Oryzias latipes: one gene and its partners. The protein of the gene in region 1 interacts with the protein of each later gene in a pairwise test. Links are inferred from orthologs where the notes say so. Each region holds a gene or a part of one and is shown on either strand. Other genes may lie near its edges.

Region 1 (4,944 bases):
GGACTGTTGTTTTTTTTGACCTGTTTAAAATTTGTTTTAGTTGTGTCTTTTGCATTTTTATAAAGGAAGTGAAACATTTTTGTCACACTTGAGCTCTTAGTTGACACCATTTCAACCACCGTCACATTAGGAAGCATAATGTTATTGACTTCAAAGCATGCTTTTTTATGTTTTTTTTTCTTTCCTATTTCGATTTTATAACCCAACAACAAGCCAGTGTGTACACATTTAATATAACTATAATTATCATAAGGCAGTTTAAAAAAATTAACAAACTATCAATTAATTTCGTACTGCAAACTTTAATCAGTGATACGGTAGTAGGTTAAAAAAAACAAAACAATATGGGATGCAGGGGTGCAACGATTAATCAATTAATTGATTTATCCAACCAGATCATTCTCTCTTAGCCAAGTTGTTAGTCGTATCAAATCAAATCGACCCATACCATTGGGGGTAAAAAACTAAAAAAGTTTCAAAATGAGATAAATCAAGGAATTTGTCTTGGAAAATACATTTGGATTTTTACTATAAGGTAAGAACGACCAAGTACTATCACAGCAGACAACACACATGTGATGACAGCAAAAAATGAAATGATCAGTCCATCATTCCAGTCAAATGTATGGAAACACTTTGAATTTAGCAAAGACTGGTGACCATATAGTGTGCTAGAATGTTCTAATAATATTCCCTTTGGATTATTTGGTTGTGGAACAACAACAGTGGGCTGAACTTTGTACACATTTAATTTACACTGGATTATGTTGCAAGAAATACAAGGAATCTGGTAAACTTCAACTGCACTGTTCAGTATCCAGGTATTCATCTCTGAGTCACACTAGTTGAGGTTTTGGCTAAAGATGTCCTGGATCGATTTTACGTCAGGGAATCGGATTAAATCGGATCATTCAAAAGGATCAAATATTGACTATGAATTGTATTGGCAAACACAAATGTTGATATTAATTGTTAGACCCCTTTGACAAGAAAAGCAAGCTTTATTAAGATGTTCTTAGGTTTTAACACAACGTAAAGAGTGATAGGACATCTTTATGCCATTCTGTTAACGGAGAGATGCTGGTTTTATACATGAACCGGTATGTCTTTTATCATCTGCTTTTTCCTCCTGCAAAGATTTATTATTCTAATGGGGAAAATTGTATCATCTTAGAATGTGTCTTAATCGATTTTGAAAATCTTTTAACAAGATGATGCTAAAAAAAAAAAAAGTAGGCCTAGTTTAAAAAAAAAAAAAAAATCTACAACAACGCTATATTATACCCACAATATATACCCACAATATATATATATAAAGTGTGGGTTTGCAGCCCTATAAGATGTGGTCTTTAATTTATTACAGTTTTTCTGGTCATAAAACACAGAACATAAAACCACAGATTTTTCTTATGGGATGACATGATGCAATTAAAAAAAAAAAAAATTTCATCTGTTATATTCCTGAAAATCCGATTGCAGTACATTTTAGTTCATATGTTCTTCATAAATATGTAGTCTTGAGGTGGTTTAAGAAGCAGAGTTTTGCGTTAAATTGCTCTTTCATTGATTGGCATTACTCTGTGTTTCAGGGAGACTATGATCCAGTAAAGACCAGAGTTCTTCACTTTAGAATGAACCCCTCCAGTGTTGCCAAGCAACAGCGGCAGCAGGAAGTGGAGACTCTTCGAGAGGAAGTGACAACTCTGAGGGAACTTGTACGTTCCTTGCAGGAAGGAGGTGGAATTCTGCATGCACAAGACAGCTCGGGCATTTACACCCCCAATATCAGCCTCAGTTTACCGCCATCCAAGGAGGTGCAGGGTAAGATGCCTCAGACATGGTGACAGACCCTTTCATAAATCATTGCCTTTTTGGATTTTCAAAAAGGCATGCAGTTAAATCGCAGGAAAACAACACAGTTATAAGAAAGAAAAGTGTTTTTTTAAAAGGTGTAAAATCCGTTTTTTTGTTCGTTTTTTTTGCCGATAATATGAAAATTCAGGGTGTCTGCAGGGTTGTAAAGAATAATTGAAGGGGAAACAACAAAAGTGCAAAAATGAAGGGCATTAAAGTGTTAAATTTGCTTTAAATCTTAAATATTTTTCCATCTGAAGTTTTTCATTTGATGCTTTCCAAACGTATGCCTTTAAAGAAACAAAGCACCTCTTTGGCCCACCCGACTCATAGTCAGTGTGGTGTCTGTGGCAAAGGATTCAGTGAATCCACAGGTCAAAATTTGAATGTGTGATCAGTTAACTTTCATGCTGTATCGACGCTTTAACCAAATGAACATTGCTAGACATTTTATGAACAAAATCTGCTGATTTACTTGGCTCACTACCACTGAGGCAGTGTTCAGTGTTTAATATGTAGTGGGTGGACCGTCTTTGTAATCTATCGCTGTAATCCTCTGAATTCTGCTACTGTGGTCACTTTCACAGAGTTATCTTTTCATGCATTTGTTTCATAATCTTTACTATTACATCCATCAGTTTAAGTAAGGGGTAATGTCTGACGAGATGTTTATCATGTAAGGGTTAATGGCCGACGAAGTATACATTATCACTTTTTAGCGCACGCCGTGGAAGCCTGAACGTTCCGACGTAAAGCGTTAAAAATTGATAATGCCCACTTTGAAGGCAATTAACCCGCTTATACCATACAAAAGCAATAAATATTAATCAGTTTTTAGTCCTTAATTCTTGTTTTTTTTTCTGATTTTGGATTGCTTTTCTCACAAAAAGCGGACTATTTGTTACGTGGCGCCGCAACACAGTTCAGAGAGAAAGTTCACCTCTTACTTTTAGTCCTAATGATGAAGCAAAAGGTTGCTCTAAAGAAGCTGCCGCAGTAATACAAAACATTTAAGCTATGTGATCAGAATTTCTTTTTTCACCGTGCGATTATCCTGTGGTATATCACTTTTTAATGCACACCCAACAGCCAATCAGAATCAAGTATTCACCCGGACCATGGTATAACAGAAATTAATGGACGACGCGGAGGCCTGCATTGAAGTCGCTATATCACGATTTACCATTCACACTCTTGCTGTATCACAATTTTTTACATATTTTTTTACAACACACTGTTTTCTTCTTCTTGATTGGCTGTTGACCTTGTCATTCAATCTCCTCCATGCCGGGTCTCCTGTATGAAAGTGTTCAATCTTCGATAGTGAGCAGATCTTTGTTTTTGGATGTGATTTATTATTCTACAAAGATTTGAGCTTCCATCCATCTATCTTCTTTCGCCTGTCCGGGACCGGGTCGTGGGGGCAGCAGTCTAAGCAAAGATGCCCAGGCTTCCCTCGCCCCGGCCACTTCCTGCTGCTCCTCTGGGGGTACCCGAGACGTTCCCAGGCCAGCCGAGAGACGTAGTCTCTCCAGCATGTCCTGGGTCTTCCCCGGGGCCTCCGCCCCGTGGGACATGCCTGGCACACCTACACAGGGAGGCGTCCAGGTGGCCTCCGGACTAGAAGCCCGAGCCACCTCAACAGGCTCTTTTCGATGTGAAGGAGATTTGAGCTTGAAGAGTTTAAATGAGAGTCTGGAAATATTCATGTTTGTCTGAGAAAAGTGTATAAAGTGTGTAATCTGGGGTTTTACAACTTGAAATCCTCTATAACCCTACTTTGCCGATTTCATCTATAGCAGGTTATTTATGGAGCGCTTACGCCTCGATAAACTAGGGAACACTGTAGTATAGAACATCTGGGCTGTGCTACTGGAATATCTATTTTAGGTGTGTATTATCAATGTGGATTATGACTTTCTTATGCAACAGGAATTAATTATAGCTTGTATCAGAGTTTCATTTGACTCTGTATGGAGTCTATATGGCCCCAGCTCGCCTGTGAACTTATGTGTTTACTCTCTGTTGCACAGATTTGAGTTTAAATCAAATAATAAAGTTTCATTAGTTCATGTAATGGCTACCGGTTTGTGAAGTCATATCAGTAAAAGTTCACAATTAAGATTCCAGTTGGTAATGTAACCACACTTTGTGCTATGAAAGCCATCGGGTGAGCTCTCTTTGGTGCTCATTATTGAACATTGTCTAGTCTCTAATTCTATTCTGTTATATATAGATTTAAATGTCAAAACGTGATATTCTGTTTAAAAATTCCATGTTTTTTTAAATGTTTTATTAATTTAACTCAAAAACTGCTGTAACTGTCCTGACCAGTTGATGTTAAAGCTTGTGCAGATAACTAACTTGTTACATTTATGAGTTTCTTAAGCCTTTTGTAACAATTCATTGTAGTTGCATTGAAACAAAACGTCAAACAAATAGATAAATTCATAAAAATTAAAGAATTTTACACAATTCTTTAGAGCACATTACAAAAATAGTATTGCCTCTGACATAAATGCAAGACAGTAAAATACCAGTTGAGCTGATGGTGTAGATGTCACAGACATCTAAATTCATTGGTCAATTTTTGATTTATAGTGATTTCATTCAATATAAATATTTATCCATTTAGTATTGATTCATTTCTTATACTATTCAGTTTAGGGCTGCACAATATGAGGAAAACTTGCGATATAGTGATTAATATTGCGATGACGATATAACTTGCGGTATATTAACATATAAACATATAAAACAACCAAAACATAATTTCCATTTCACTGCAACAGTTTAAAAATTACATTTCAAATGACCCACATCTAAATAAGGCGAAAAACATAGAGCATAAATGGGCTCCATCCGATTGGTCTATGATGTAAAGGAGTCCATTCGATTAGTCAAATACATAAAGGGATTTCTTTGTTTCTATAAATTTTTTCAAGTTGGCATGCGATTGTTTTAGCACATTTAAGGTAACCATTTATTGCCATTTTTGCCGTCTTTTGCGATATGCATATTGCACAGCTTGATAACGCAATAACGATATATTTGCGATACATTGTGCAGGCCTAATTCAGTTCATTTTTT
Region 2 (5,463 bases), on another chromosome or scaffold:
TTGGGCTTTTGAACAAGAATACAACAAGCAGAAGTCCAAATACCTCAAGCAAATCTTCAAAGAAGACCATGGAGAGTTCAGTTCCACCAACTTACTGTCAGAAAAGAGCCAGAAATCCAGTGGAGAAAAAGTATCTGATCTTTCCTGCCACTTAGAAAACAGCCATAAACCTTCTGACATGCAAGGTGTTAGTAGAGTTCCTGATGCTCGCCTCAGTGTGCACACCAACCGCACAGCCTTTACTTCCCAGGATCTTTTGGTTCCCTGGCATCTTAAGGGAGGGAAATCGCAGCTAGAGGAAAACCCTGACTTAAGCTCCAGCCCCGACTCAAGCCTGGGGTCGGACTCAAACTCCTCCCAGCGTGCAGATGCTAAGCTGAGTCCAGCATTCCCTCAGGCTTCAGCTTCTGCTTTGAAACTGGAGAGTAGCACAGTTCCAGTTTTTCATCGCTATTACCATGTTTTCCAGCAGGGGGAGCTGGAGCATCTGTGTGCTCAGGTGTCTGGAGTCAAAGTGAAGAGCAGTTACCATGACCAGGGCAACTGGTGTGTTGTGTTGCAGAAGGAATGAATGCAGAAAGATATGTCTGTGCGAATAAAAACTTGGCAGAACAAAAAACAGAACAGTGAGACAAAATGAAAAGATGTTCTTGTTGAGATTTTAAGAGAAATTAATAAATGTAGATTTTTGAGAAACTGTCTTTTACAGGGCTTTGATATTTGTGACTCTTTTGTTCGTTTTTGCTTGTTGGTATTTCATATTTTAAAAATCATTTTATTTTTCTTTTATCTTTAAAAATTCAAGTCAAGTCAAGTTTATTTATAATGCGCTTTAAAAAAAAACCCAGCAGAGGCTGACTAAAACACTTAACAATGAAAGATTAAAAAAAAACAACAATCTAAAATAAACAACATAATAAAAAAGTAAGAAACATCAATAAAATCACCAACTCATACTGAGCTAAAAGACAGAGGGAAAAAGGGAGTTTTCAACTTGGATTTAAAATCATTCAATAAATGAAAAAGAAACACATCTAAGTGATTTTTGGTCTCCTTTTAAGTTCAGTTTGTGCTTTGAAATTATCAGGGACTTTAAATTGAGAGCAGCCAGCACAGATTTTTTGTTTTATTTCCAACATTAAGGCAAATCAATCAAACTTTATTTTTTCAAAGCAAGTTTGTTTCGCACATTTTATGTACAAAGGTAGTTCAAAGTGCCTTACATAAAACATTAAAGGAAACATTTACTGGAGATATTAATGGGGTGATTATTAAAATAAAAATTAAAGAAAGTTAAAAAGAACGGAAATTAAAATAAGCTTAGAGTAACGGTGCTGATGTAAACTTTTGAAGTTAAATTAATTAAATGCTGTTGAGAACAGGTGGGCCTTTAACATGGGTTTAAAAAAACTGAGTGTTTTAGCAGATCTAAGGCTTTCCTGAAGTCTGTTCCAGAAGATCTGTGGAGCATAGAAGCTGAATGCAGCTTCTCCGTTTTGGTTTGGACTCCAGGAACTGACAACGGTGACAACAGATGATGGGAGAGGTCTGCATTGGACACTGAAGCCGCTAATTTGCACATGTAATGCTTGAAAACTATAGAACAAAATAATGATAGTGGGCCTTATATTTATCATAATCATCTTATTTAGCTCTTTGGAAAATTAGGCATTAAGGGTTAGGGTTAATGGAACTACAAGAACCACAAAACAACTGTCGTAAACAGCGATGTTTTACGACAGTTGGCTAGACCCGTGTACGACGTAGTTATGGCGGCGTACGGAGTCAGTTTTGAGAGTTCCAGCAACATCGAAGAAGCGAAAGAAAAGAAACGACAGGCGCGACAAGAGGCGATACAAAAGGTACGAACTAGGACTCTTTAGAACGCAGATGTGAAGTATTTCCGCGCCGCCGTTTGTTTTTGTTTACATTGATTGACCTGCTAACCGACATGCTAAGGATGGTACCATCAACGATCAAGTCAACCGGGACTATGTGACGTTTTGAGAAGGTTTGCTGTCGTGATGAAGTTTTAAGCAAGCGCTTGTCGGGACATTTTTCAGATTATTCCTGTTTGGACCATTGCTGCATGCTCCCTGAACGCTTGCAGGGAAATATGACACAAACACTGAAAGTGGTGAAAGTCAGTGACCGATATAGCACAGCAGACGGCGGCAGCCTGTCTTTTTCGTGTTTACATTTTGTCCAGATTGTAGTTATTCACTGTCCACAGATAGAAAACAAGAACATCTTAATAGCTGTATTCAAACATGAACATAGCTATTTACGCAGCACTTACAGCTGTTCCCTTTAAATGCACATAAATGTGTTGTAGACTCTTATCTGTTCTGCGCAAGCGCCAGGAAACTGACAACAACCGAGTGGAGCCCAGAACTGAGGAAAACTCAATCTATACATTTATCTTCAACCGATATACAGCAAAACATATTTAGCCAAATCTCTTTACTTTCTGTGCTGTTTTTATAATCTGAATATAATATATAATCGTAATCAATTTTCCAGCTCACATTTATACTTATAATCCCAAAATAGTATGTGAAGTCTAGATTTTGTTCAAATCTTTGTTTAGTGTTACCATTTATTTCTAGACACTTCAGCATAATTTAACATAATGTGTGAGTACATTTCTGTAAAACCACAAATACTGGTATGCTGTAGATATTATAATAAATGTTATTTTTTTTAAGGCTAAGCAACAATATGAGAAGGAGGAGAGGAGAAAGGAGCTGAAGAGGCAGAGAGGAGAGGACACCTGGATACTTCCTGAAGTCAACCAGAGACTGGAGCAGTTAGGAGACGTAAGTTGTATCTGTTTCACTTCAGAAAGACATTTAATAAGCAGCACAATGACAGAAATACATCATTTAAAGACCCACTCCAATGAGTATAGTATTTATGTTGTTTTTAACATGTTTTTGTTGCATTTTTCTCATGTTGAATAAAATATATCAAGAAAATTGAGATTAAAAATGCATTTCTGAGTATTTCTGTATTCATATTGTTGTGAATCAGGAGCAGACAGTCTGAGCTGAAATCTGTCTTAAAACTGGACGACTGCTCGCCAGTTTTGTTGCACCGGTAATGTTAGATTGGGGTTGTGAGGGGCTGTGAGCTAGCTGGAGGGAGTGTAAACAAAGGGTTCATGGGTAATGAGCGCACTTCAACAGTCCAACCCACAACTCCGAGGTGAATTTCTAATGAACTCCTGCCACCCTGCAGAAACTGTCCTAGAAAACAACACAGATTTTATAAATTTTTGCCTAAAAGAGCATAATTATTATTAAAATACCACTGGGAATGCTTTGAAAATGGATCAAAAGATGACTGCAGTTGGACGTGAATCATGTTTAATCATTTTCTAGAGCTATAGGTTGTTAAAGAAACATGCCAATGGTGGCACATTTCTTAAGAAAGTATTTATGCCTTATTTTTATATTTACCTAATCTAATTTTCATCTTTTTTTCCTTACATGCTGCTTTGAGTTTGCCATTGTCGGAGAAATAAAGTTTTATTTATCATTTTAGAATTTAAAACCACCTGCTTCACAGCAAACCAGTTTTCATCTTTTTTAAACCATGAAAACTTATTTGTTTTTTTATGTCAACATATTGGGTAGTTGTTTTTTTTTTTCCTGTACTCAAGCTAAACGTTTGCTGGTAAATCTTCATGTTTGCAGAAGTGGCTTCAAAATTTGCTTATGCAGAATTTTGGCAGCTTCACTCTTTTCCTGCTAATTGTATTTATTTCAATTCAAATATATTTTTTAAACAAACTGAGGTTCCATTTAAAGAACTAAATTCAAACATTTACCAGGATGGATCTTTGAAGAGCAAAAAGAAGAAAAAGGAGAAGAAATCCAAGAAGAAAAAAGAGAAGAAGAAGGACAAGAAAGAGAAAAGGAAAACGGAAGCAGGAGATGCTTCAAGTGTGGATTCAGAGGTAGACCGTCTTCCATGCATTACTCTGAGATACAAACACACAAATGATCTGTCAACAAGTTTTTCTGAGTGGTTTCTTAACAAAGATGTTTTAATAATTTCTATAACTGAAAAAATATTTTTGGGTTGAGTTCAGGTGAAGAATTTAGTTACGATTTAACACTAGAACGCCCAGGATTCTTCACTCCCCCTGCAGCGTCCAGAGCACAGCCAAATGGCTGGGTGACTCGAAATGACTCAAGGCCCGTACACACCGGGACGAATATTCGCCAGGCGTTATTCGCCAGCGTTTTTCGCCACGTTTTTTGTGTTCACACCCAGGCGATTTTCGCTGACGGTGAGCCGAGCGAACATGCAATTTCATTCCCTGACATTAGATGGCGCTTAATGTAAACAGAAATACTCCTGTACACAAGGTGGCGCTGCGCACCTTTACGCTTCTTAAAGTCGCTTTTCACTCAGAAGAAGTGAGCAAGTATTTACGCGCTTGTCAGAATCATACAAAGAAAACATGAATATTTCAAGCATCAGTAGCTCCAACTGGTACTTGGTTCGGGGATATTTAAGAATGTCCGTCATTATTTCTTCACAGCAGTGTAGACGCTACTTGGCGTCTATCTTCTTCGCTGGTATGTGTGCTCAGCAAGGCAGTTTTGTGTTTGAGCGCCCCCAAGTTGTGTTTTACTGTAACTTCAGAAGCTCCAGACACGTGTGCAAAAGCGGCATTCTCATTGGTCGAATAGATTTCGACACGACGCGTCGAAAAAAAAAACGAACCCGAGGCGTTTTTTTTTTTTGACGCTTTGGCGCGTGGCGTTTTTTCGCGTCGGTGTGCACACTCTCATTGGTGCCCTTTGTTTAGTCACGAGGCGTTAAACGTCGGCGAAAATTGCCGGCGAAATTCGTCCCGGTGTGAACGGGCCTTAAGGCTACATTCACACTGCAGGGCTTAATGCTCAATTCGGATTTTTTGAAAAAATCTGATTTGTTTGCTAGACCGTTCACATTTCCAAGTAAATCCAAACTTTTGTGATCTCCAGTGTGACCGTGACACGACCCAAACGAGACCCGCATGCGCAGAAGCTAGAAGAATACTCAACAGTGAACAACGTCACTTGTTGTTTGCGGAGCCAACGTTAACAATGGATGTCAACAACAGTGTTGTCAAAAGCGGAGCTCTTTTTGTAATATTACATTTATTTTCACAAAGGAGCAGCACAATTACAATCTTCTCATTTTAAGAAGGCATTGGAGTCGGGATCGTCTGTACCCACTGTAGTGGAAGAGGAATGTGTATGTGTTGGGGCCTCGCCCCCGCGTGTGTGTGTGTGCAAGCGCGTGCCGCGATAGAGAATAGGGGGGGGGGGGGGGGGGCAGTGTGGGCGCGCATTCATGTTGTGTGTTACGGAGGACGGTAATAAAAGAAGGTTTCCCCCAAAATAAATGCTATGGACTCTTTATTAACCCGTTCTGGAGAATCTAAGGATCAGAACAGGGAGGAGG
Region 3 (5,469 bases), on another chromosome or scaffold:
AAATCTATACATGTAAATGCAGTTCTATCCTTTAAGAATTTGATCTGCAACCACTGTGCAGCAGAAGATCAGAAAATGGGCTTCAAGTTTATTCTAACAATAAACAACTTTGACAATCGTCTACACTTTACTACACATATTAAAGACTAAACCGAAATGACGAAAAAATTGACTAAATGGACCAAAACTGTTATTTATTCAACTCATTAGCATCTTTCTTCACAGCTAAAGAGCCAGAGTGGAGGATGCAGGAGCCTCAGGTCGGTGACCTCTGACCTTCACGGTACACGAGGGCATTTGAGCTGAATGGAAATGTAAAACCATCCATCCTGAGGAGTTTCCCCCCAGAATGAGACCCACATGCAGTCCTCTGACTCTGGCCTCATGCATTTGAGGTTCTGGATTCCCTCTGATGAGGAGAAAACAGCTCAATAGATTAGATGTCAGGTTTTCCACCACATGCACGGACACGCGCGAGCATCACTGCTGCACACAAGCGAAGCGGCCGCAACCTTTTCCTCCCGCGGCAACAATAACGCGTATTAACAAAACCAGATTATGCTGGGCCTCCTCTAAAGCGGGTTTATGTAAGAGGGCTGGACATTTCCAGAGGGGAAAGCTGCCAAATCTCAGCATTTATTAGGATAATCGGAGTCCAGTCCCCGCGCGGACGGCCAATCAGCGCGCGCCTCCGTTTGGTTACAGCAGCCAGAGAGGGCCTCTGAGGCGCACGCGGCCGTTCGGAACCCGAACCGGACGCGGTTCAACAGCCGCCCCGCCAACGCTAGTCCCCCGCGGGAAACCCTGCGTGGCCGCTGGCTCTGCGGGCGGACGAGCGTGAAGCCGAACCAGCCCCCCCGCCCCGCCCTGACGCCGCCTCACCTCTTCAGGACTCCGAACACGTTCGCGCACATTCTGAGAGATGTCTGTTTCCATCAGCAGAAAGCAGGCGGCCGGCGAAGCTGGGGAGCAGCCGCGTGCGCAGACAGGAGCCCGCGGAGGTGTCGCGATGCTCCGGCGACCAGCAGACAGACTCTGCCCGCCCGCCTGCAGTCCGGCGGCTGTCGCCCCTCCCACCTCTAAGCCACTACGTCTGCAAACATGGTTTTGTCCCCCCCCCCCCCCCCCTTCTTTTAAAATAAAAAAAACCCCAAACACTTGACCTACACGCGCAGATATTTGACTTCGAAAGATGAAATCCCACCACCGGGTCTTTTTCCAGCCCGTTAACACCGTTGTGAGCTGTCGGTGATCACCTGACTGACTCTGCCCCACCTTGACCGCATAAACTGCGGCTTTACGCCGGCATCTACCCGCCGTTGAACCGCCCCAGTCTTACCTGCATAACCAGCGAACAGCCATGTACCCCGCTGCGAAGGAAAAGCCCCAAACCTTCTGTTGAAGATCAACATTAGCCCGCCTAGCTGCACCTTCACGGACTTACTTTCCCGTCTCAGCCTCGCCACTATAGTTTCACGGAGTTCGATTGTTTCGCTGAATCTACCCTCCCACTTCGTATTTTAATCAATATTTCAATCTCTGAGTGTAACCAACAGCTACAACTATATCTGTACACATTCCTAACACTTTGGTTAATCTTGTTGGTCATTATCTCGTTTAATAATGAAGCTTTTATCAGTTCAGACGCAGGGAAGGTTGTTGTCGGCCAACAGCGAGTGCGCTCCATTTAATCACCAACTCTGTGCGGAGACAAACTCGACCCGTTTTGTTTATGTTTTATTTCGTTATCGCTTCTGATAAAACATAAATATAGCAGTGTTTTTAAATAACGTACTCAAAACGTAGTTTGTAGCTTTGGTACTTGAAGCTTTTGCGATGAAAAGTTTTGACAGTATCTTTCTAGAAATATGTTTTATTTAGAGTTTAGTTTGAAACCTCATCTGCTCCGAACCCGTCGGGCAGAGACTTGACTAACGGCTTGCGAAGGTGCTGTTTCCGAGCGTCTCTAGCCGTTTTTTGCAGCTCACGTGACCACCTGTCCTACATCCTCGCGGAAGGACATACAGTTGGGAGACATGGGTTGTTCGCCACCGTTGCGTGTTTAGCTTTTCTGCGTGACAGTGCCTTGATTTTGCGGGAATGACATTCGGGGCAGCTGGACGCTTGTCGTGGAGGAGCGCGCGGAACTCCCGCGTGCAACTGCTGGATGTAAACATCCGGCGCAACGGCTCTAATAATCCAACGAGCCAACAGGATAAAGCCGCCAAGGTGCGCGCGCCGCCGCAGTCCGTTCCGCGTTGGTGTTTTTATCCCAGGCTCCGTGCTCACATTACCGGAGGAATCAGAAACGCTGAGGTTCTGATCCTGCTGTGAAAACCAAGATAACGACGCATGCGCACTAGGTCTGCACAGCCAAAAAGTCTAATTGACCTGCAGGTTACTGACTGGCTGAACTAAACATGGCTTTAACCAACTCCTTCTATGTTTAGTGCTGCTTAGGCCTAACGGACAGGCTTTTCATCAGCAACCATGAGAGATTTTCACGTCATCTGGTTCTGAAGTTTCATTTAACGGCTCTAGATCCTCACAGAAAGGCTGCGAGAATCAAAAGACACCAGTAGAACCCATCTGTAACAGCTGTCAGTGGGTTTGTTTGGGCTAATGTTTCTGATTCACTGTAGTAAATGTAACCGTAATGATGAAGAAAGTCCAAAGACTTCTGCAGCTGAAGGTAGTGATGTCATAACGCACCTTTTTTCAGGCCTCTGGGTCCTGGATGGAGTCTTCCTCCTCCCTGCTCTCCTCATGCCTGCTCTCCTCCGTGCTCTTCTCCTGCTGCCGTCTGCTCTGCACTGATAAGCAGATGCCTCCAGTTAGACTGCAGGGCCTCCTGCATCCCTCCTGCAGGGCCTCCTGCATCCCTCCTGCTGCCCTCCTGCAGGGCCTCCTGCTGACCCACCTCAGCCCCAAACCGTAGGAACCTGAAGCGCCAGAGTCTGATGGATTCTGTTGGTTATTCTTAGATGCGTTCACATGCTTTGGCCCGGTTAAAATGGGTTTTCTGGAGTCCTCTGGTTCCCTCTGCATCATGCCTGGGGGGCCGTCCCATCAAAAACCCTCAGACTGCGCTGGCTCCAAAGGGCCATCAAAGCTGCAGACCTATTCTGGATTTTAAGTCTGGCCTTCTAATCAGAAATTCATGTACAAATGTATTTAGATAGAATTCTCTTTTATGTGAAGAAATAGGAAGAGTCCAATTGCCATAATAATGTTCATAGTTTATTTGCTTTTAATGCATTGAATAGTTGGCCCTCTTTGAAAAAGAGTTTCCTGAAAAAAGCAAACAGTTGTTGGTTGATCTTCTCCTAAAGTTCTCCACTGTTGTTTTTCCACATCCAAAGAATCCAAAGGGAACATTCTTAGAACATTCTAGACACTGGATGGTCGCATGACTTTATTCAAAGTCTGTCCACACATTGGACTGGAATGATGGACTGATCCGTGTTAATGACATCACATGTGTGTTGCTGTGATTGGGCGGTTTGACCTTATAGTCAAATAAACCTACTGTACCTCAATCTAAATGGTATTTTCCAAGATCAATATAATCGATTTTAACGATTTTTTTAATGGTAGAGGTCAATTGGAATTGATTACCCTCTTGGCTCAGACAGATCGATCTGGTGGGACAAATTAATTCATTGTTAGTTATCTTTTTGACTTGTCTCTGTGTTTTTAACTCTGGGGGAATCCACAGGATCAACTTTAGCTCTATGGTTTTTATTTATTTCTTTTTCTCTCTAGTTTTTCCTTTATTTTTAGGTTTTCATTTGAAGTTTTTTTTGGTTGCTGTTAATTGCTGCTTTCCAAAATGAAGAAACAAAATCAAATTTGCTTAATTACCTTTAAAAGCCCTGAAAAAAAAATGGTTGCTGGGTTCTCCAGGGTTAAACGAACACCTTTTTCTGGTGTTTTATTTTCTTTTTTTTTTTTACATTTTTTTGGTCACTTGTAAAGTCCATCTTTGGACAAATGCTGCAAACATTAGGATGTGGGCATGGGACTGCGGTTTGCAGTCCATCTGTTCTTAGTAAATACGTTTAATTATTGTTCATATTTCCATTTTTCAGCGGACACCTTTGAGACCGGAGCCCAGCTCTACACATGACTGGATCGGCCCCCCGAACCCGCTGTCCAACCTGCGGCCGATCATCTACCGCATCCCTGAGGAGGAGTCGGAGCTGGAAAAGAGGCTGAGAAACCTGAGGCAGGAGACGGAGGACTGGAACCACAAGTTCTGGACCCAGCAGAACCTCAACTTCAGCCAGGTTGAAACCAACATTTTTTACAAGTGTGCCATCCTGTCCAGACGAGGTTTTCAGGTTCCTCGTTTCCCGACATGCATTCAGGAACATCTCGGCATCGGTGGGAGCTGCAGGACACGTGACACGTCCTTCCTCGGTTAAAACGTCCTCCCCCACACAACGGGGTCCAACATGGCTGGACTGACAGCAGTCGCTCCTAAAAACCAGCATCAGGAAAACTGATGCTTGTGTTAAAGCAAACAAAACACCGATTTGACGTTCCTCTGGGCCGCTCACTTTAAAAAGCACTTTAACTCATTTTATCAGTGAATAACAATATTGTGAAAACCTTACATATAATAAATAAAGAAGAGCAGGACTTGAGTGACACTGCTGGTTTTTTAAATCAGTTATTTTGTCCTGTGTGTGTCGGTATTTGAGATTCACCACCAGAGGGCAGCAACGCGCTTCCTGCACAGGATTTCTGCAGAGCATCCAAAAGCATCACTAGTCTTTAAATGCATTTAACAAAACCCAGAAAACAGTCAGCGTTGTGCTCAGTAAAATTTTAAAATGATCAGTTTTAGAGAAATTTACTTGCATGGCTCTATCTTCTGCAAATTATTTGTGTGTAAAAATATCTGAAGAAAGGGGATCATAGCTTTTAGCAGGTCAGAGTTTCTGAAAACCAAGTTTTACTAAAAGTGTTTTGTGTGGAAAAAGTCTGGTACAAACACAGCGAAAGGAAACGTGCTGAGTTTGAATCCATAAAAACCAGACATTAGAAATAAAATGTTGCAGTGGTGTGTTCCGTTTCGTGTCATTTACGGGGCATTGGAGTTTTCAAATGAGTTGAGTTCGTTCCTGCAGAAACTGCTGTCAGCTTTCTGCTCAGTCATGTGTTTTGTTGTTGTTTTTTCTGAGACGTACTGTAAAAACACTGAGGGGTTGGCAATTTCATTATGGCTTTCATCGTCAGATTAGCACTTAAAAAAGCAGAAGCTCTGAACGATGTTGTCATTCTTTCCCAGGAAAAAGAAGCTTTCGTGGTTTCCCAGCTGGCGGGGAAAGGCCTGACTCTGCGAGACGTGGACGGTGAGGACATGCAGGCTTTCCTTCCTGCTGGGCCTTCTGGGTTTTTGGAAAAGTCGTGGATGGAAACGGATCAGAAAGATCTGCCGGCGATCTGCTGCTGATCCAAATC
Region 4 (4,944 bases), on another chromosome or scaffold:
GATCATTTCATCTCCTAAAACTCTGAATATTTCAACATTTTATCTATTTTTTGATTATTGACCTAAAGTCCCAGTCTGATGAAATGGTACTTTTGATGTTTTCTTTTAACATGTTCTTGGGACATTTTTCTGATGATAGAGGACAAAATTAAGCTCAAGATTTCATTTTTGAGTATTTCCTTATTCAAATTGTGAATCAGACAAAAATGTCCAGTAAATGTGAAATATATTTAACAAAAACCTTTTATAAAAATCTTTTTTGCGAGTTTCCTGAATTCAAAGTGCAACGAAATATTTACAAATAGTAAAAAAATGCATGTAAATCAACACAACGCAGGTTTTGTGAGCTGCTGCTGGCGTGAGCTTCTCACAGAGAGCTGCTGGGATTTTGTCGTCACACCGCGCTCGGAAACTCGCTTACATGTGCGTTTCAAGCTTCTGCGTTACGACCCTTTTGGGGCTGTACATACAATACGCAGCTATTGGACGCACGTTACCAGCTAATCCAGGTCAAACTTTGACCAATCAGCGACTCAAATTTGATAGAAACTGGCCGAATTCCGCAGTTTCATCTGGTCAGCTCAGACACGGAGACGAGCCTGACGACGTCTGCGTCTGTTTTTCAAATAAACTCTCCTGATTTATTCATAACCTAATCCACCATTGCCAGGGCGCCGTAGATGAACCGAACAGTTTTCCGTGTCGCACCCAACATGCAATGATTTGCACCGCTTTGATATTTTGCACCATCCTCTTCCAACTGTAGGTGGCGGACATGTGCTAGTAAAGAGTTAAAAAAAAGAGGAAGAAGCCCCTCCCTGCTTGTCCAGTGTAAACACTTTGGGCTAAACGAGCGTTCAAGAATGCACGTTAAATGCCAGATGTGTACGGAGCTAAACAGATTTTGGAGCGTGGGATTTGTTGCTCCAAGTCTAGGGGGGCAAAGCCAAACTAGAAAAGTTTCCTCCTTCAGGAACAAGCTCCTCTTTGCTAGTTTCCATTTGAACGTCTGCACGTTGCGAGATGCGGACAGGCTGACCGTAGTCCGAACAATGGAAGCCCAGGAATCCAAAGATGAATTCTAATTAATTCATGATTTGTATTGTTTTTTGGAGGTAGATTGTAAATGGGCGTGGCTCCGGCATGCAGCTCCACCTCAACCTCAGCGTCCTCTGGGACGCCGGCTCACTCGTCTGTCTTTTCCTGGAAGCGTTTGCTTCCTGTCAGTCGGCCGTGTGACGGACGGCGCTGCTTGGCTGTCGTAGAAGCCGTTCCACTTCACTCTTCCTTCCAACCTGTGTGTGTGCTTGGGTTTTAGTGCACGTTTGTGCGCCTGTGTGTGTGACATCGACTCGTTTCTGCGCACACAACTAGAATGCAGAAAGAAAATCTGTAGAAATCCACGAGTGAACTTCCTGTTCTGTCAGTTTTCTCCTAAGGAATAACCCAGTTCTCCTGAAATGTGTTTATTTTGGAGTCGTGTAGTTGTTTAAAAAAAAAAAAAAAAGCGTAACAAGAGGGGGTTATGGGTAAAATGAGCAACTCTTCCTTCATTCATTAATGGCAGTGCTATTAATTATGCATGGGGGCTGGTTTTCTCCTTCTCTCCTGCTTTGCTCCCTCCTTCATTGGAAGCGTTCCCGTATTGGATAACCGATTTTAGCCGAAGCAGCGATGCTCCCATGATTCTCAGCTCTTTTTCTCCTTCCTCCACTCTCCCCTTTATGTCCTACCCCCCCCTTACCCCGAGCTTATTGCACCCGTTCTGCGGTCCTGAGTGACCTTCAGGGCTCATTTCATCCACCGAATCGTTCAGGGAATCCGTGATTTTCAGGTTTTGATATGTGAGGGGCTGAAGGCGTCAGGAGAGCGAGGATTTTTTAAAAATTATTATTTTACATTTGTTCTGTAAGGGCGTGGTGAGAAAGCGTCAGGACACTTGTGCAAGAAAATGACTTTGAGGGAGAGCGCCGAGTCAGACGGGTGAATACTGCAGCCTCAGCTGGATGCAGGCTGCTCCCCCCCTCCTTCTCTGTGCGCACCTCCAGTCTTGAGCATCCTCATCGCTGCTATAAATATCCGCAGGCTTGAGTGGAAAGCAGCAGACGGGCCGCAGGGAGGAGCAGAGGACAGAGGGAGGGGATTTGGCGAGGAGACGGCAAGCTCACAACAATTACCGAGGGGAGGACATCCAGAAGTTTTTTTTTTTTATATATATAGAGATTTTTTGGACTTCAAAAGGCCTCCATGACATCCATCCCGGTTAGATTCCCGCTGGAGCCGCGCCCTTACATGCGCCTCCCGCTCAGCCCGGGCCGCTGACATGCGGGCCGGTGTGGGCCGGGCCCGGGGCGGAGCTGGGATGTCATGCTCCTCTGCTGCTGGTGGTGCCTGCGGCCTGAGGCGGTGGAGCTGGACTCCCGGAGGGTGGAGCACCACGTGCTGAGCTGCGAGGCGCCCGCCTCCACCATCGCGGCCGTGTCCTTCGAGCGCTGGGACGCGCAGGCGGGCGGCGGCGCTCTGCCTCAGAGGTCCGCTACTTGCTGCAGGTGGAAAGAGCCCCCAGATTCTTTCCGGAAAACTCAGTTTGTTTTTTTGTCTGGGGAGGGGTCTGCTGTTGGTTTAGTCCTAAAGGCTATCAAATGTTTGTCCTGAAGTCAGTGTTTGTAGATGCTACATTAAAAATTCAGTCTAATGCGATGCTTTTTCTGCATTTGTGGTGCAGTGTGAAGAATTCCAGCTACAGTCTGCCGTCCTACCACCCCTACACCAACAGCTACGACTACTCCGACCAGAGCAGACCCAGCGAGCGCTCAGGACTCTGTGGATTATCCAACTTAGGGAACACCTGCTTTATGAACTCTGCTGTGCAGGTGCGGTCTGGAGAACCTTCCTCAAGTCTCCTTTGTAGTTTAGAAGTGAGATGGTCGCTAATTTTGTGTGTTTTCTGCTTCTGAACGTCAGTGTTTAAGCAACACTCCTCCGCTGACGGACTACTTCCTCAAAGACAAGTACACAGACGAGTTGAATGAGGACAACCCGCTGGGAATGAAGGGGGAGATCGCCCGAGTCTACGCCGAACTCATCAAACAGCTGTGGTCGGGCAAGTACAGCTACGTCACCCCGAGACCCTTTAAGGTGATCACCAGAACCTTCTCTCCTTGTAGGGGTTAGACGACCTTTTTCAGCTTGTGGTTTAGTCATTGACTGTATATGAAAAATGAACTCCCACTCTCATGCTCCAAACAGGAAGTACCTGCTGACTCCAAAAAGCCAAAATCCTGTAGACTTCTATAAAGAAATAAACAGCTATAATGCTACGAACACGTGTGACGCGCGTTCAAGAGTGTGCGTTCTTGAACCCGTGTTTAGCCCCATGGTGTTCACACCGGAAAGGCAGGGAGGGGCATTTTTTTCTTTTTATTTTTTGACTGTTTACTGGCGCATGTCCACCACCTACAGTTGAACGAGGCTTTGTGTGAAAAGGCGTAGCGGCATAAATCTCGTGAATCTTGCTCCAGGCTTTTTCCATCACAGCTTTGTTCTTGGATATGAAAGACTTGCCGTCATAGACTTCACACCGGACACAAAACGCTGTTATTCATTTCTCCTCTATGATCAATTTTTAAACAGCTGACACTTCTGTGCATTAAAGAGGACGCCATCCATACGTCAATAGCAAATCTGAGTCCCTGATTGGTCACAGTTGGTCCTGGTTTAACCTTTGAATGCGTGTTCAATGGCTGCGTGTTTCGTACATAGTGGTGGAAAAACTGCATAGTGACCGGTGAATGCCAGACTTTTGAACACGGAAGTCCAAAATGCACGAACATAGGCTTTCAAATGCAAGTGGTCACTTGAGCGCATGTTGCGGAGAGCGATGTAATAGTAGCTTCACTCTTTTATATTTTTTAGAAGAATCCTCCTTGCTCTGCTACTTTTGTTTGTTTTTTTAAACACGTCCCTAATATTTTTTTCCCTTTACTGCGAGTCAAAAACTAAAAAAAAAAAAAAAGATGCCTAAATAACATTTGATTGACAGTCTGTGAAACCCCCTTTCAACAAGCTCACTTCTGATTGATGACGGTGGTTGCCATAGAAACGTCTTGACTTAAACCAATTTGGACCAATCAGTGCTCACTGAAAATTTCTGGCTCCAACTTGGCGACATCTGTATCGCGACTGACAATTGATTTTATGTGGTTGAAGCTGGAACTCAGTGGGTTTAATGTTAGATTAGGGCTGGGCGGTTAATTTGTTGGTCCAGACGATTTACTTTTGAGAGGCAAAGAGGAGCTACTTCCGCGAGACTGAGGAAAATAAATAAACACTAGCGCACACGCCGCATGAATCACTCCGTAACCTCCGCTAATCATCTCCGTGTAGCTTTAGTTTACGCTAAGCGGAACATGTGACCATTTTTACAGAACCCAGACAGAATTGGAGGATAGACCTGTTGGACTAACAGTAGCAACAGAACGTTTAATAAAAAGCGGTGTCGTTACACTGACACGACGATGCTATCACGCTAAGATGCTATCACGCTAAACGCTATGCTAACGGGCTGTTCCTTGTGTCGTCTACATTTGATCACGGACCGGTTTAAAGTCAAAATATGTTTTCAGGAAACGAACAAAATTAATTCATAGAACATTTATGAAAACTGTATGTTATGGATTTATATTGTTATGAGTAAGAGGCAAGAATCCAAAACAAGATCATGTTTTTATTATGATTTCATGTCAAATCCCCTGGAGGGAGAATTAGGAAAAGAAAAAGCGCCTTTTCTGTCGATTTCCAATCTGTCCTTGTTTTCTCGGCAGGTTTGAATTTGACTTTACAGTTGGTTTAGGCTACAGGAGACTAGGGGTGTGTATTGGCAAGAGTCTGGCGATACGATATTTATCCCGATATGTGCCCCGCGATACGATTCGTTTACTGAAA
Region 5 (5,398 bases), on another chromosome or scaffold:
TTAAAGTCAAACAGATGGAGAACATTTCTCTTCAGGATTTGTTGGTAGACACTGGAAGCTGTGGTTCCACAGCAAGTCTTCCTGGTTCACCACTGTAACATGTTTGTTTTCTCACGTGCTGTGTTACTTTTACACCAAATGTTGTAGACAAATGTATTTTTTAGAAAAGATTGACTTTAATCTAATCAGTCCTTAGATTATTTACTCAAAGATAGCAGGGTCTTTTGACATCTCTTGAATAAGTTACTGCACTCTTGTGGTAATTTGTTCAACAGGCCACTCTGGAGATGGATCACAACTGTTCTTGTGTTTTCCTTGTTTGAGGAGATTTGCTCTCAATAAAGTGTCAAAGCTTCAGAAATGGCTTAATCATCAATGTTTTTGAGCAAGTGGTCCCAAAGACTGTTTTAATTTTTTCCTGAGTATCTCTGGATTGCAACACAACGGCAAACGTTTGAACCTTCAGTTCATGCTGGTCTTAAACATTATTTTCTTGATTATTTTTTTTGTGTATGGGTGTGTTTGTGTATGAGTTTTTGTCTTTGAGTGGAAAGAAAAAACTATCAAAATAAAAGCCCTTCCATGTTATTTCTTACATTGTATTTATTTTGTTATTTATTTACATTAAACGCTAATTTAAGAATACTTATATATAAAAAATTAATCATCTAGCCAGAATATAAGAAAGCAAATATTACCTACACTATGATGGCTACTTTTTTCTACCTTGTATATCTTACCTGATATTTGCTTTCTTGTAACATAGATTTTATTTATCAATTGAACTAGCACATAACATCAAAAAAGAAAAATAGTAATAATAACATATCCTTTTTTAAACCCTTTTAACATATAGCCTAGTAGTCAATAGGCCTAAATCAGGAGTCTGAATCTGAGGCTCCAAATCCAAATGTGGCTCTTTGTCCCTACATTATGGCTTTTTGGCTTTGAAAAAATTCTAATAATTTGCGTAAATAATGGTTTTGTCGTAGTCAGGATTATTTTGAGTTAATTACGTTTTGTCATTTATTTTTAGATTTTTAAAATGTCAGGTAACTGAGCATCATGACAGTAAAAGGTTTAATCTATTGTGTGTGGTTAAAGAGAAGAAACGCCTAGGAAGTGCATGGAGGAACATTTGTAGAAGTTTATATTTACATTATATAGATTTGTTTTGCCTGGTTTAATATTTGAGAGTAAAAGGAAAAAAAATGAAGGCCCACCAAAATCATAATAATAGAAAATGTTATATTGGATTTATCTTTCTATCTTTTTAAATTTAAGTAAATCTCCTGTAGCAAAGGATCCTATTTGACACAGGGTGTGTTTTATTTTGAAAGGATCTTGTCAAAAGTAAATAAAGTTACAATTAATAAATGCAGAAAAACATAACACTGTTATAGTTAAATTACTGTAAATATTTGAAAACTACATAAATAAATTCTATTTTCTAATTGATAAAGTGAGCTTTTGCGGCTCTAAATGGATTTTGGTCCGCATTTACAGTCAATGGTCACAGAAACTTGCCCAAAAGGCTCTTTTAATGTTAAAGTTTGTCCGCAGACAGGAAGTAGCATTAACTGACCTCACATAGTACGAACTCCGTGGCGTCAACGTCCGCCTCGTTTTCGCGGGCATTTTCGGGCGATTGTAAATTCTCCTTTGGTGAGACATCTCCTCCAGACAATCCCGCTTATGGAAGCTTTCGAAATGGAAGAATTTATTTCGACTGTGAAATGTGAGTATAAGTCGGTTCAACTACATTACACGGCTAATTACAGATACAAACCATAAATAATTGTAACTGCGTCATCAGCAGGGGTAGGGGGTAATCAATGAGTTATATCGCGATATAACTGGGGCTAACCTAGCTAAACCATCTGCTAGGCCATGTACTATTTTGTCAAGCTAGTTTAATGAAATGAATTAAGCACATAAATCCTACCTTAGCTTTAGCCTTTGTCCGAGTGAAAAAAATGTTTGCTTTATTTTTTAAACAAATTAATTATATTTTTTCTTTCTTTAAAACTACCTTAAAAAAACATGCAGACTGCCATAAATAATATTATATAAATGTTGGGTTTATTCAGAGAAAAATCTATACAGAAATCATGAGAGCAATTTTAAAGTTAACGAAGAGAATCTTGAAGCTGTTTTTATGACAGACAGACATGCTTGGTTTTATTTTTGTTGTGGAACAATGGCTGGCAAGACTTTTAGGGTATAAATAAAGTTTATTATTTTGAATTGGTTAACAAAATTATCATTTTACTCTTTAAAACGGGAGCATTATGCCTCAGGGGGCTGGAGGGTCTGTTTCTGTTACCCACACATTTATGCATATATATGTGTGTGTATATAATATATATATATATATATATATATATATATTATTTTTTTTTGCTCAATCCTGGATAAATACGATAAAGAACATTTGGCAGAAATCAATATTTTGGAAATTGTTAAGAAAAAAGGGCAAGTAATTTTTTTCACTGTCCAGCTTGATTTGAAAAAAACAAAAATAGAACAAACTAAAAACAAATGTCTCTAGTTATTAAAAAAAGTGTGATTTGAGGCTTTGCAGCAACAAAAATAACTTAGAAGTGTACATAACAGTTACCATTATGCTTTGACTGTGAACTTCACTCACAGAATTCTTTTTAACACCCACTTTTAAAAGTGTGGAGGGTGTAATTTGCATCAGCTTCATATACAACAACTTGCCGCCTCACAGATCTTAAAAGCATAAGAGAACAAGCATATGCCAGAACCCTTTTCTGCTATGGCAAACTAGAAGTTACTGTCAAGGGGAGCAGTTATTGGATGTGTCACATATATTTATTGAACATCTTTTACTCTTAGTGTGTCTATTCATTTCAAACGTTCTGCTTTTTCACAGGTCTCACAGAAAACTTACAGCAGAAAGATCTAACAGATTGCGATGAGGTTATAGAGAAGCTTTTCTCTGAAGTCTCAGGCTTAGATTCCTTTCTCAAAATACCAGATCCTCAGGTAATTTATCAATCGTTTTAGATTGTACTATTTTTAATATAGTCTATAGTCCTGGACAGATATGTACAGAAGAGGATTAGGGCCATGGAGAAAGAAAAAAAAAAAGGGCATAGAAAATTCTGACTTTAATCTCAGAATTCTGACTTTATATGTTCATGTGGAGCTAAACATTTTTTCCCCCTATCCCAACATATCTTGAACCTGCAACTTCGAAATTATTTTATAGCTTAACTACTTTTTAGTAGTTTTAGTAGTAAAACTGAATGCTTAAGTCTAATAATATAAGTTATTGGCATGTTTTTAGTGTCTTGTTTTACTGGTACAGATTCAGGAGTGTGCCGTCCAGTTGTGGAACTGGGCTGTTACCAAGAATGTGGGAAACGCCATAACTGCAATCCAAAAAGCTAAAGGTATTCTTCCAATTGCAGTCTGTATAGTTTTTAAATGTTTACCTTTCTTGATTTTCTAAAACACAAACCTAATTATGGGGATTACAGGCAAGGTTAATGCCTCATTTAATATTTTTTATCATCATCAGTTCGCCATGTTGCATGCAACCTGCTGTACTGCTTTGAGTCTGACAGTCCAACAGAGGGCGCCTTTCGAAAACAAATCTTGGTAAGTAATTCTGGAGGTTTTCCTTTTTATAGCCTGGCATTTCAGGAGGATAAGGCCTGTGTGTTGATATCTTATCCTTCCAGATGGCCAGCAAAGCAGGGAGAGCCTGGCTGAACTGCAAAAACTTTCAGATGGCAGATCACTTTCTGAGACTTGCCGTCAAGGTGAGAAAGAAACGTTGGATAAAATCTGGAAATGTTTTTAGCTGAAAGGAGAAGGATGGAATTATTTTATTCTTTTACAAATGATCCAACATGGTATATTCCTAGAGCTTGGAAACCCTTTACCGCCAGCTAACGTCCAGAGCCAATGACGAACCTGACATCTTGTCATCCAAGGCAGATGTGGAGAAGGACCTTCTTCGGATCCTGTCGTGCCAGGCTGAGTCGGTGAGCAGTGCTGCATGTGATGTTCAACACCTTAAATGTGAATATTTGTTCTTGTGATATTTTGCAGCTTGGGAGGTGCTGTTCTGACAGACTTGCAGTGTGAAGTGTAAGACAGTAAAATTGTGACTGAGAAACAATGAAGGGGGGGTTCTGAAATAGCTAATTGAGAGAAGTTCATTTCCCTTCATTTAATACACAATCTGATCTTTGTTACAGGCTATCGCTCAAGGGAACAACCAAGAAGCCATAGTGTTCATCGAGCGATGCAAAGACATACTGCTGCGGCTGCCAAATGAAGTAAAACACAGCTACCTTACTGTTCTCTTACATTCAAAGCACATGTTGTTGAAAGTGAGGGGGGTGTTAAGTGTGAGCTTTCATCACAGACGGCGTACCTCTCAGTTGTCTGTTACAACTTTGGAATCGAGGCATACAATCTGACAAAGTTTGAAGACAGTGCATTTTGGCTGAGGTAGTAGATTTATTAATGTGGTTTGATAAAAAGTAATAAAATAAAAAAATCCAGGGTAAAAATGCATCTCTTCCTCCTTGTTTGTTTTTGTAGCCAAAGCTATGACATTGGAAAAGCAAACATGAAATATGGTCCAGGATCAGAAGCTCTGGTAAGACCCCGTAAGACAGAATGAATAGAGTTAGCAGCAGGAATGCTAATCTTTGAGAACAAGTCATTAAAAAGAAAAAGAAAATATTTACAATGTCACTCATAAACAGGCCAAAGTTTTGCGGCTGCTCGCCACGTGTTATTTAGAGTGGGACTGTGAGAAGTTTCAGGAAAAGGCTCTAAATACTGTCAGCTTAGCAAACAAGGTGGGACGTGAGGCAATATTACGTCAAATATTTATTGTAAAAGGATGAAGAGTGATTATTCCTATGGTGGTGTTTGGCAGGAGTGTGTGACCCCGTTTGGACTTTACTTAAAGATCAGAATTCTCCTCAGATGCAGAGCCCCAGACAGCCCTGTCAGAGCAGGTCAGTCATAATCTGACTGCCGTCAGTGATGTGCTACAAAAATAAACACAAATAGAAATAGAATAGAAAGAAATAATGAGTCTGATATTGGTGGTCACAAAGCTTGTACCACTTAGATTGGATGCTTCCTAGTGTGTCATTTGAATCTTTGAGTGACAGACAGATAAGGTTGCATCACAAACCTGTGTTTTCAGGTCTTAATGAGATGCTGGAATCTAAAGTTTCTCTTGACATGTGTCTGAACACAGTGAGACTGCTCATGTCTGAAAACAGGTGAGGAAGTTAAAAACAAAACAGAAAACTGATTGCAGATTTAACTTTATTTGCTTGTTTGAAATAATAATGCATCCTAAACGGATGAGGACATTTATTCTGCACCTCTGAAAATG
Region 6 (4,429 bases), on another chromosome or scaffold:
TGGCAGCTGTAATTGGAAAATAAACACCTTAATAAAGGTGACAAAGTCAATAAGTATTCATCAGCCTCTAATTCTATCCATTGTCCCACTTACTAAGATAAAAGAGGTCAGTAATGTTAATCATACATTCAATGAGAGAAAGAATGAAACAAAAAATATTCCAAGAAATCAAGTAGTATGATTTTTAATGAGTTATTTGTATGATGGTGCTGAAAATAAGTATTTAGCTCCAACAAACAGGCTAGAATTCTGTCCCACAGAGACCTGTGGCTCTTCTTTCCTGTATTAATGTCACCTGTTTGAACTTATTATCTGAATAAAATACACCTATTTATTCCCCTAAACATTCAGACTCCAACCTCTCCACCATGACCAAGACCAAAGAGCTCTAAAAGAGACAGCCCTTTAAATATAAATCCATTTGTCACCTATTACATAAGAATACTAAAGCTATAGAAAAAGTCCAGTTCAGATCCAAAAGTCTTTAAATAATTCTTGCATCTTTACTCCTGGAGGGAGGTGGCAACTGTGCTCCAGCAACAAAGAAGCAAACCCCACCGGGTTCATCGGGCTGGGAGCTCCTGCTGGATCCATGTTTGGCAAAGTATTCTGTCACAAGAATGGGCAGACGGCTGGATCCAAATGCAGCATGTTTATTAGCTCAGCTAAAAGTCCACAAAGCTAAATCAGGGTCAGGCAGGCAGGAGTCAATAAAGAGCATGGCAGCATCAGAGAAGAAACAGAAATAGTCAGGATCCAGGCGAGATTTGGGGCAGGCAGCAGGCAAACAGAGTGAAAGACAAGGGTCAGGAAATCAGAAGATCGGGTCCAAATACAACACTCGGTAATGCAGGCAGAGTGGCACAAACAATACTTCACACTGAGTGAGGCTCAGTGCTTAGGTGTACTGTGAGTGATTTGCAAATGAAAGTCAGGCGTGTGGCATCCAGAAACTGTTGCTGGGGTTGCTGGGAGATGAAGTCTTTGAACAGCTTTTTTGAACAGCTTTTTCTTTCAAATTGTAATTCTTTCATGAATGTGTTTCTTCATTCCTTCTGTTCTTCAAAATATTATTGTTTCTTTTTTACTTTACCTCTTTATAAAGTGTATTTGGGTGTTTTAAAAAGGGCTTTTAAAAATTATTACTATATAATAACTTGTTGCATTCAATTTTCTGCCTGAAAACATTTTTTGTACCATTGCACGTATTAGTAACACATTGTTTGGCTTACCTTTGGTCAGGCTGAGGCTGAAGTGGCTTCCCTGAACAGGCGCATCCAGCTCGTGGAGGAGGAGTTGGACCGAGCTCAGGAGAGACTGGCAACAGCGTTACAGAAACTGGAGGAAGCAGAGAAGGCAGCAGATGAGAGTGAAAGGTATAACCCTCTTCTGAAATCTGTGTAGTTTTGCTCATGGATGAGGAGGAAAGAGATTGTTATCTCAGCAGAGAAATAAAATTAACCAAACCAGTTATGTTTGAATACATACACACAAATATGTGAGCACAAACTTCTAACGTAGTGTGATATTTTTCTGCACAGAGGCATGAAGGTAATCGAGAACAGGGCCCTAAAAGATGAAGAGAAGATGGAGCTGCAGGAGATTCAGCTAAAAGAAGCTAAACACATAGCAGAGGAAGCCGATCGCAAATATGAAGAGGTGAGTTGGTTTATGTTGCTAAGAGCTGTTAGCAGAATTCTCTGATTGCTAAAAGCACTTTATTTTTCATTATTTTATTTTTGGTATACGTGTTTTCTGACTTTTGAGAATATATGACATTCTGATCTGGTAATTATAAAATATTTTGATACATTTTTATCCTCATAAAATGAATTGAACCGATCTTTTATTGTCTTAGTTAAACTAAATAAGATAATGTTATCTACTATAGCAACTAATAACTTCTGAATGTTTTACTTCAAGTTCTAATAAAGTTGCATTATTAGCACAATTGTCTGGTCAGGTATAACACAAAAGACATTGAAACCTACTTTGTCCATGCTGTAAGCCGTGGAAACAAAACTCTTTTTTAGATATTTAGACAATACTAATATAAACCTTAACAAAGACTGTACATCGTTTTGACTTTTACTTGTTTTAAACCAGGTGGCTCGTAAACTAGTGATTGTTGAAGGGGAGCTGGAGCGTACAGAGGAGAGGGCAGAACTTGCCGAGGCGTGAGTGTTTAATTGAAGCCTTCACCCTATCTTTTCATGTAAAAATGAGCTTTTTGCTAATCTAGTTGGTGTTGTTCACCTTTTGGCATTTCCCTTCATGGGTCGCCACAGCAAATCAGTGTTCACTGATTCGCACAGTCGGTTTGGCAGAGATTTTGACACCGGATGCCCTTCCTAACACAACCCTGTATTTTATCTGGGCTAGGGACCAGCACAGGGGGACCCAGACTTGGCCACTGTTCAAATAGGTCAAGTTTAGACCCAAGCTGGACTATAAAATTAATAATGTGATTTTATTAATTTAAAAAGTTTTACACTTATGTGTCTTGAAAGGGCATCATCTCCCTTATTGGAAGAAAAAGAGCAGAATTAATGATCTTTAATAATCTTAATTTGAAAATTAAAAATAATGAGATTTATTGATCTAAGCCATGCAGTCATTGGGTTTTCTTGAAATTGACCAATTGATGGGTGAGAAAACCAGATGAATAACACCATTTTAAATATTTTCTCTAAAAATATAAAAAAAAATCATTGGAAGTACCGGTAGATTCAAATAAATTACGTGTGTGGAGAAATGTGTAAATGGGTGAATGTTTAAAGAAGTTTTGCTGCTCATTAGAGAAACTTCTTCAGTTCTAAGTTCTGATGTGGAGTTTCAATAGTTCATTTCTTGACTTTTCCAGAGGTGTGGCAAAATAGGTAACTTAACTATGTCATTTAAGCAAACCCAAATGTCAACAATCCAATCCTTTCAGGGAAGAACCATGAGCATTAAGCCACATTAAGCCACGACTCAGCAGTTCACTTTCACCTTGTGGAGTGTAGACCATTCACTTTTCTGTTCAAAGAGTCTTACACTGATTTTTTTTTCCTCTAAAATGCATATCAATCAGTAAATGTGCTGAACTGGAAGAAGAACTGAAGAATGTCACCAACAACCTCAAGTCTCTGGAAGCTCAGGCTGAGAAAGTAAGCAGTCATTGCAAGCACAAACATGACTTCTTATTTTTTCTTCGACCTAAAATTCCCCAGAAATCACTTATAGTAGTTTTATCTGGCATTAAAATTACAGGCACTATTGCCCCACAGTGGGAACGTGACAGTTAATTAAATAAACGTCTTCAGTAGATTTTTTGTGATATGTCTCTAATAAAAAAAAAAAATCTCTAATTAAAATCTTTTACAGATTTCTAACTAATACTTGAGTTGTTTTAGTTTTGGTTGAGTTGTCACAGCAGTCAAATAAACTGATGCATCAACACCCCAAAGTAGTCTAATGGTAAAGTAAAATGCAATTATAACCTATGTCCTTTATCCATTTTCTTGTATTTATCTCTCCATCTTCTGCTGTAGGCAGCAGTCTTAGCACAGAGCCTTGGTTTTGTCATCCATTTTTTTTTAGCAGATTAGAAATAGTTGGGGATTATCAATAAAGAGCTCCAATCTTTTGCTTTGGACACATACCCAAGTCTCTGCCTGGTTTAAATGATACAACACAAAACTATATTAACCCTTGTGCTATCCAATGGGGTCAAGATGACCGTTGACGTGTTCTCCATACCATGACAAAGGTGGATAAAGGTGGAGAGGATTTCATGTAACTCCCAATGTTAAAGTGCCTAAGATAGCACAAGGGTTAAATGTACAGCATAGATTGATAGAACACTGTTACACTGTAGACTTGTGCGATTGCTGTGCATTAACAACTGTTGGATTTCTTTCTGCAGTACTCTCAAAAGGAGGACAAATATGAAGAGGAAATCAAGATTTTAACTGACAAACTCAAGGAGGTGAGCACAAAAATGACATGTCTTTTTCACGCTAAAGATGTATTTTTACCCTTTAATTACCGTCAGCAGTGCAGTACATCAAGTGTTTTACTTTTTAACTTTTTCAGGCTGAAACCAGAGCTGAGTTTGCAGAAAGATCTGTCGCTAAGCTGGAGAAGACTATTGATGATTTAGAAGGTACAGATCTCATTCCATGTGTCCAAGTGCATACTTTATAAGGTGTCATTCCTAAAATCATGAAATGGCAAAAACAAGACTTTTTTTAACCATAAAATTCTTTTCCTTGATGAAAGAAAAATAAATGTTGATGAAAAAACAAACTTTATCACACTGTAATTCGGTTTTCCTTTCTCCCCAAGATGAGCTTTATGCTCAGAAACTGAAGTACAAAGCCATCAGTGAAGAACTGGACCATGCTCTAAATGACATGACTTCTATGTAAGTAATGAAAAGTTGTGT

What was found.
Region 2: the proteins of mad1l1 (region 1) and cwf19l2 interact in binary tests that used the Homo sapiens proteins (3 or more experiments, as listed by UniProt). The two-hybrid records come from large-scale screens. The link is inferred for Oryzias latipes from reciprocal best matches to the Homo sapiens genes MAD1L1 and CWF19L2.
Region 3: the proteins of mad1l1 (region 1) and bag5 interact in binary tests that used the Homo sapiens proteins (3 or more experiments, as listed by UniProt). The two-hybrid records come from large-scale screens. The link is inferred for Oryzias latipes from reciprocal best matches to the Homo sapiens genes MAD1L1 and BAG5.
Region 4: the proteins of mad1l1 (region 1) and usp15 interact in binary tests that used the Homo sapiens proteins (3 or more experiments, as listed by UniProt). The two-hybrid records come from large-scale screens. The link is inferred for Oryzias latipes from reciprocal best matches to the Homo sapiens genes MAD1L1 and USP15.
Region 5: the proteins of mad1l1 (region 1) and tex11 interact in a two-hybrid assay, tested with the Homo sapiens proteins (2 studies listed by BioGRID and IntAct). The two-hybrid records come from large-scale screens. The link is inferred for Oryzias latipes from reciprocal best matches to the Homo sapiens genes MAD1L1 and TEX11.
Region 6: the proteins of mad1l1 (region 1) and tpm3 interact in binary tests that used the Homo sapiens proteins (3 or more experiments, as listed by UniProt). The two-hybrid records come from large-scale screens. The link is inferred for Oryzias latipes from reciprocal best matches to the Homo sapiens genes MAD1L1 and TPM3.

The regions. Positions count from the first base shown.
Region 1 is NC_019859.2:22,993,966-22,998,909, forward strand, and holds part of mad1l1 (mitotic spindle assembly checkpoint protein MAD1), read left to right. Parts: intron 1-1,589; coding exon 1,590-1,821; intron 1,822-4,944. UniProt on the Homo sapiens protein: Component of the spindle-assembly checkpoint that prevents the onset of anaphase until all chromosomes are properly aligned at the metaphase plate.
Region 2 is NC_019871.2:20,782,206-20,787,668, forward strand, and holds the start of cwf19l2 (CWF19-like protein 2), read left to right. Parts: upstream 1-1,730; 5' UTR 1,731-1,769; coding exon 1,770-1,862; intron 1,863-2,708; coding exon 2,709-2,819; intron 2,820-3,835; coding exon 3,836-3,961; intron 3,962-5,463. Other genes in the region: alkbh8 (alkylated DNA repair protein alkB homolog 8), read left to right, coding at 1-571.
Region 3 is NC_019880.2:21,267,105-21,272,573, reverse strand, and holds the start of bag5 (BAG family molecular chaperone regulator 5), read right to left. Parts: upstream 3,408-5,469; 5' UTR 2,769-3,407; coding exon 2,713-2,768; intron 2,230-2,712; coding exon of another isoform or gene 2,101-2,229; exon of another isoform or gene 1,982-2,100; intron 1,847-1,981; exon of another isoform or gene 1,363-1,846; coding exon of another isoform or gene 1,340-1,362; intron 1,082-1,339; exon of another isoform or gene 915-1,081; coding exon of another isoform or gene 883-914; intron 1-882. Other genes in the region: apopt1 (apoptogenic protein 1, mitochondrial), read left to right, coding at 2,101-2,229, 4,092-4,289, 5,297-5,360. UniProt on the Homo sapiens protein: Co-chaperone for HSP/HSP70 proteins. It functions as a nucleotide-exchange factor promoting the release of ADP from HSP70, thereby activating HSP70-mediated protein refolding.
Region 4 is NC_019881.2:6,925,756-6,930,699, forward strand, and holds part of usp15 (ubiquitin carboxyl-terminal hydrolase 15), read left to right. Parts: intron 1-145; exon of another isoform or gene 146-2,367; coding exon of another isoform or gene 2,368-2,549; intron 2,550-2,725; coding exon 2,726-2,873; intron 2,874-2,964; coding exon 2,965-3,138; intron 3,139-4,944. UniProt on the Homo sapiens protein: Hydrolase that removes conjugated ubiquitin from target proteins and regulates various pathways such as the TGF-beta receptor signaling, NF-kappa-B and RNF41/NRDP1-PRKN pathways.
Region 5 is NC_019868.2:11,386,430-11,391,827, reverse strand, and holds the start of tex11 (testis-expressed protein 11), read left to right. Parts: upstream 1-1,577; 5' UTR 1,578-1,695; coding exon 1,696-1,738; intron 1,739-2,899; coding exon 2,900-3,012; intron 3,013-3,337; coding exon 3,338-3,422; intron 3,423-3,550; coding exon 3,551-3,630; intron 3,631-3,713; coding exon 3,714-3,794; intron 3,795-3,899; coding exon 3,900-4,019; intron 4,020-4,235; coding exon 4,236-4,316; intron 4,317-4,405; coding exon 4,406-4,491; intron 4,492-4,584; coding exon 4,585-4,642; intron 4,643-4,751; coding exon 4,752-4,847; intron 4,848-4,927; coding exon 4,928-5,009; intron 5,010-5,203; coding exon 5,204-5,282; intron 5,283-5,398. UniProt on the Homo sapiens protein: Regulator of crossing-over during meiosis. Involved in initiation and/or maintenance of chromosome synapsis and formation of crossovers.
Region 6 is NC_019869.2:21,742,978-21,747,406, forward strand, and holds part of tpm3 (tropomyosin alpha-3 chain), read left to right. Parts: intron 1-1,242; coding exon 1,243-1,376; intron 1,377-1,541; coding exon 1,542-1,659; intron 1,660-2,106; coding exon 2,107-2,177; intron 2,178-3,073; coding exon 3,074-3,149; intron 3,150-3,907; coding exon 3,908-3,970; intron 3,971-4,077; coding exon 4,078-4,147; intron 4,148-4,329; coding exon 4,330-4,408; intron 4,409-4,429. UniProt on the Homo sapiens protein: Binds to actin filaments in muscle and non-muscle cells. Plays a central role, in association with the troponin complex, in the calcium dependent regulation of vertebrate striated muscle contraction.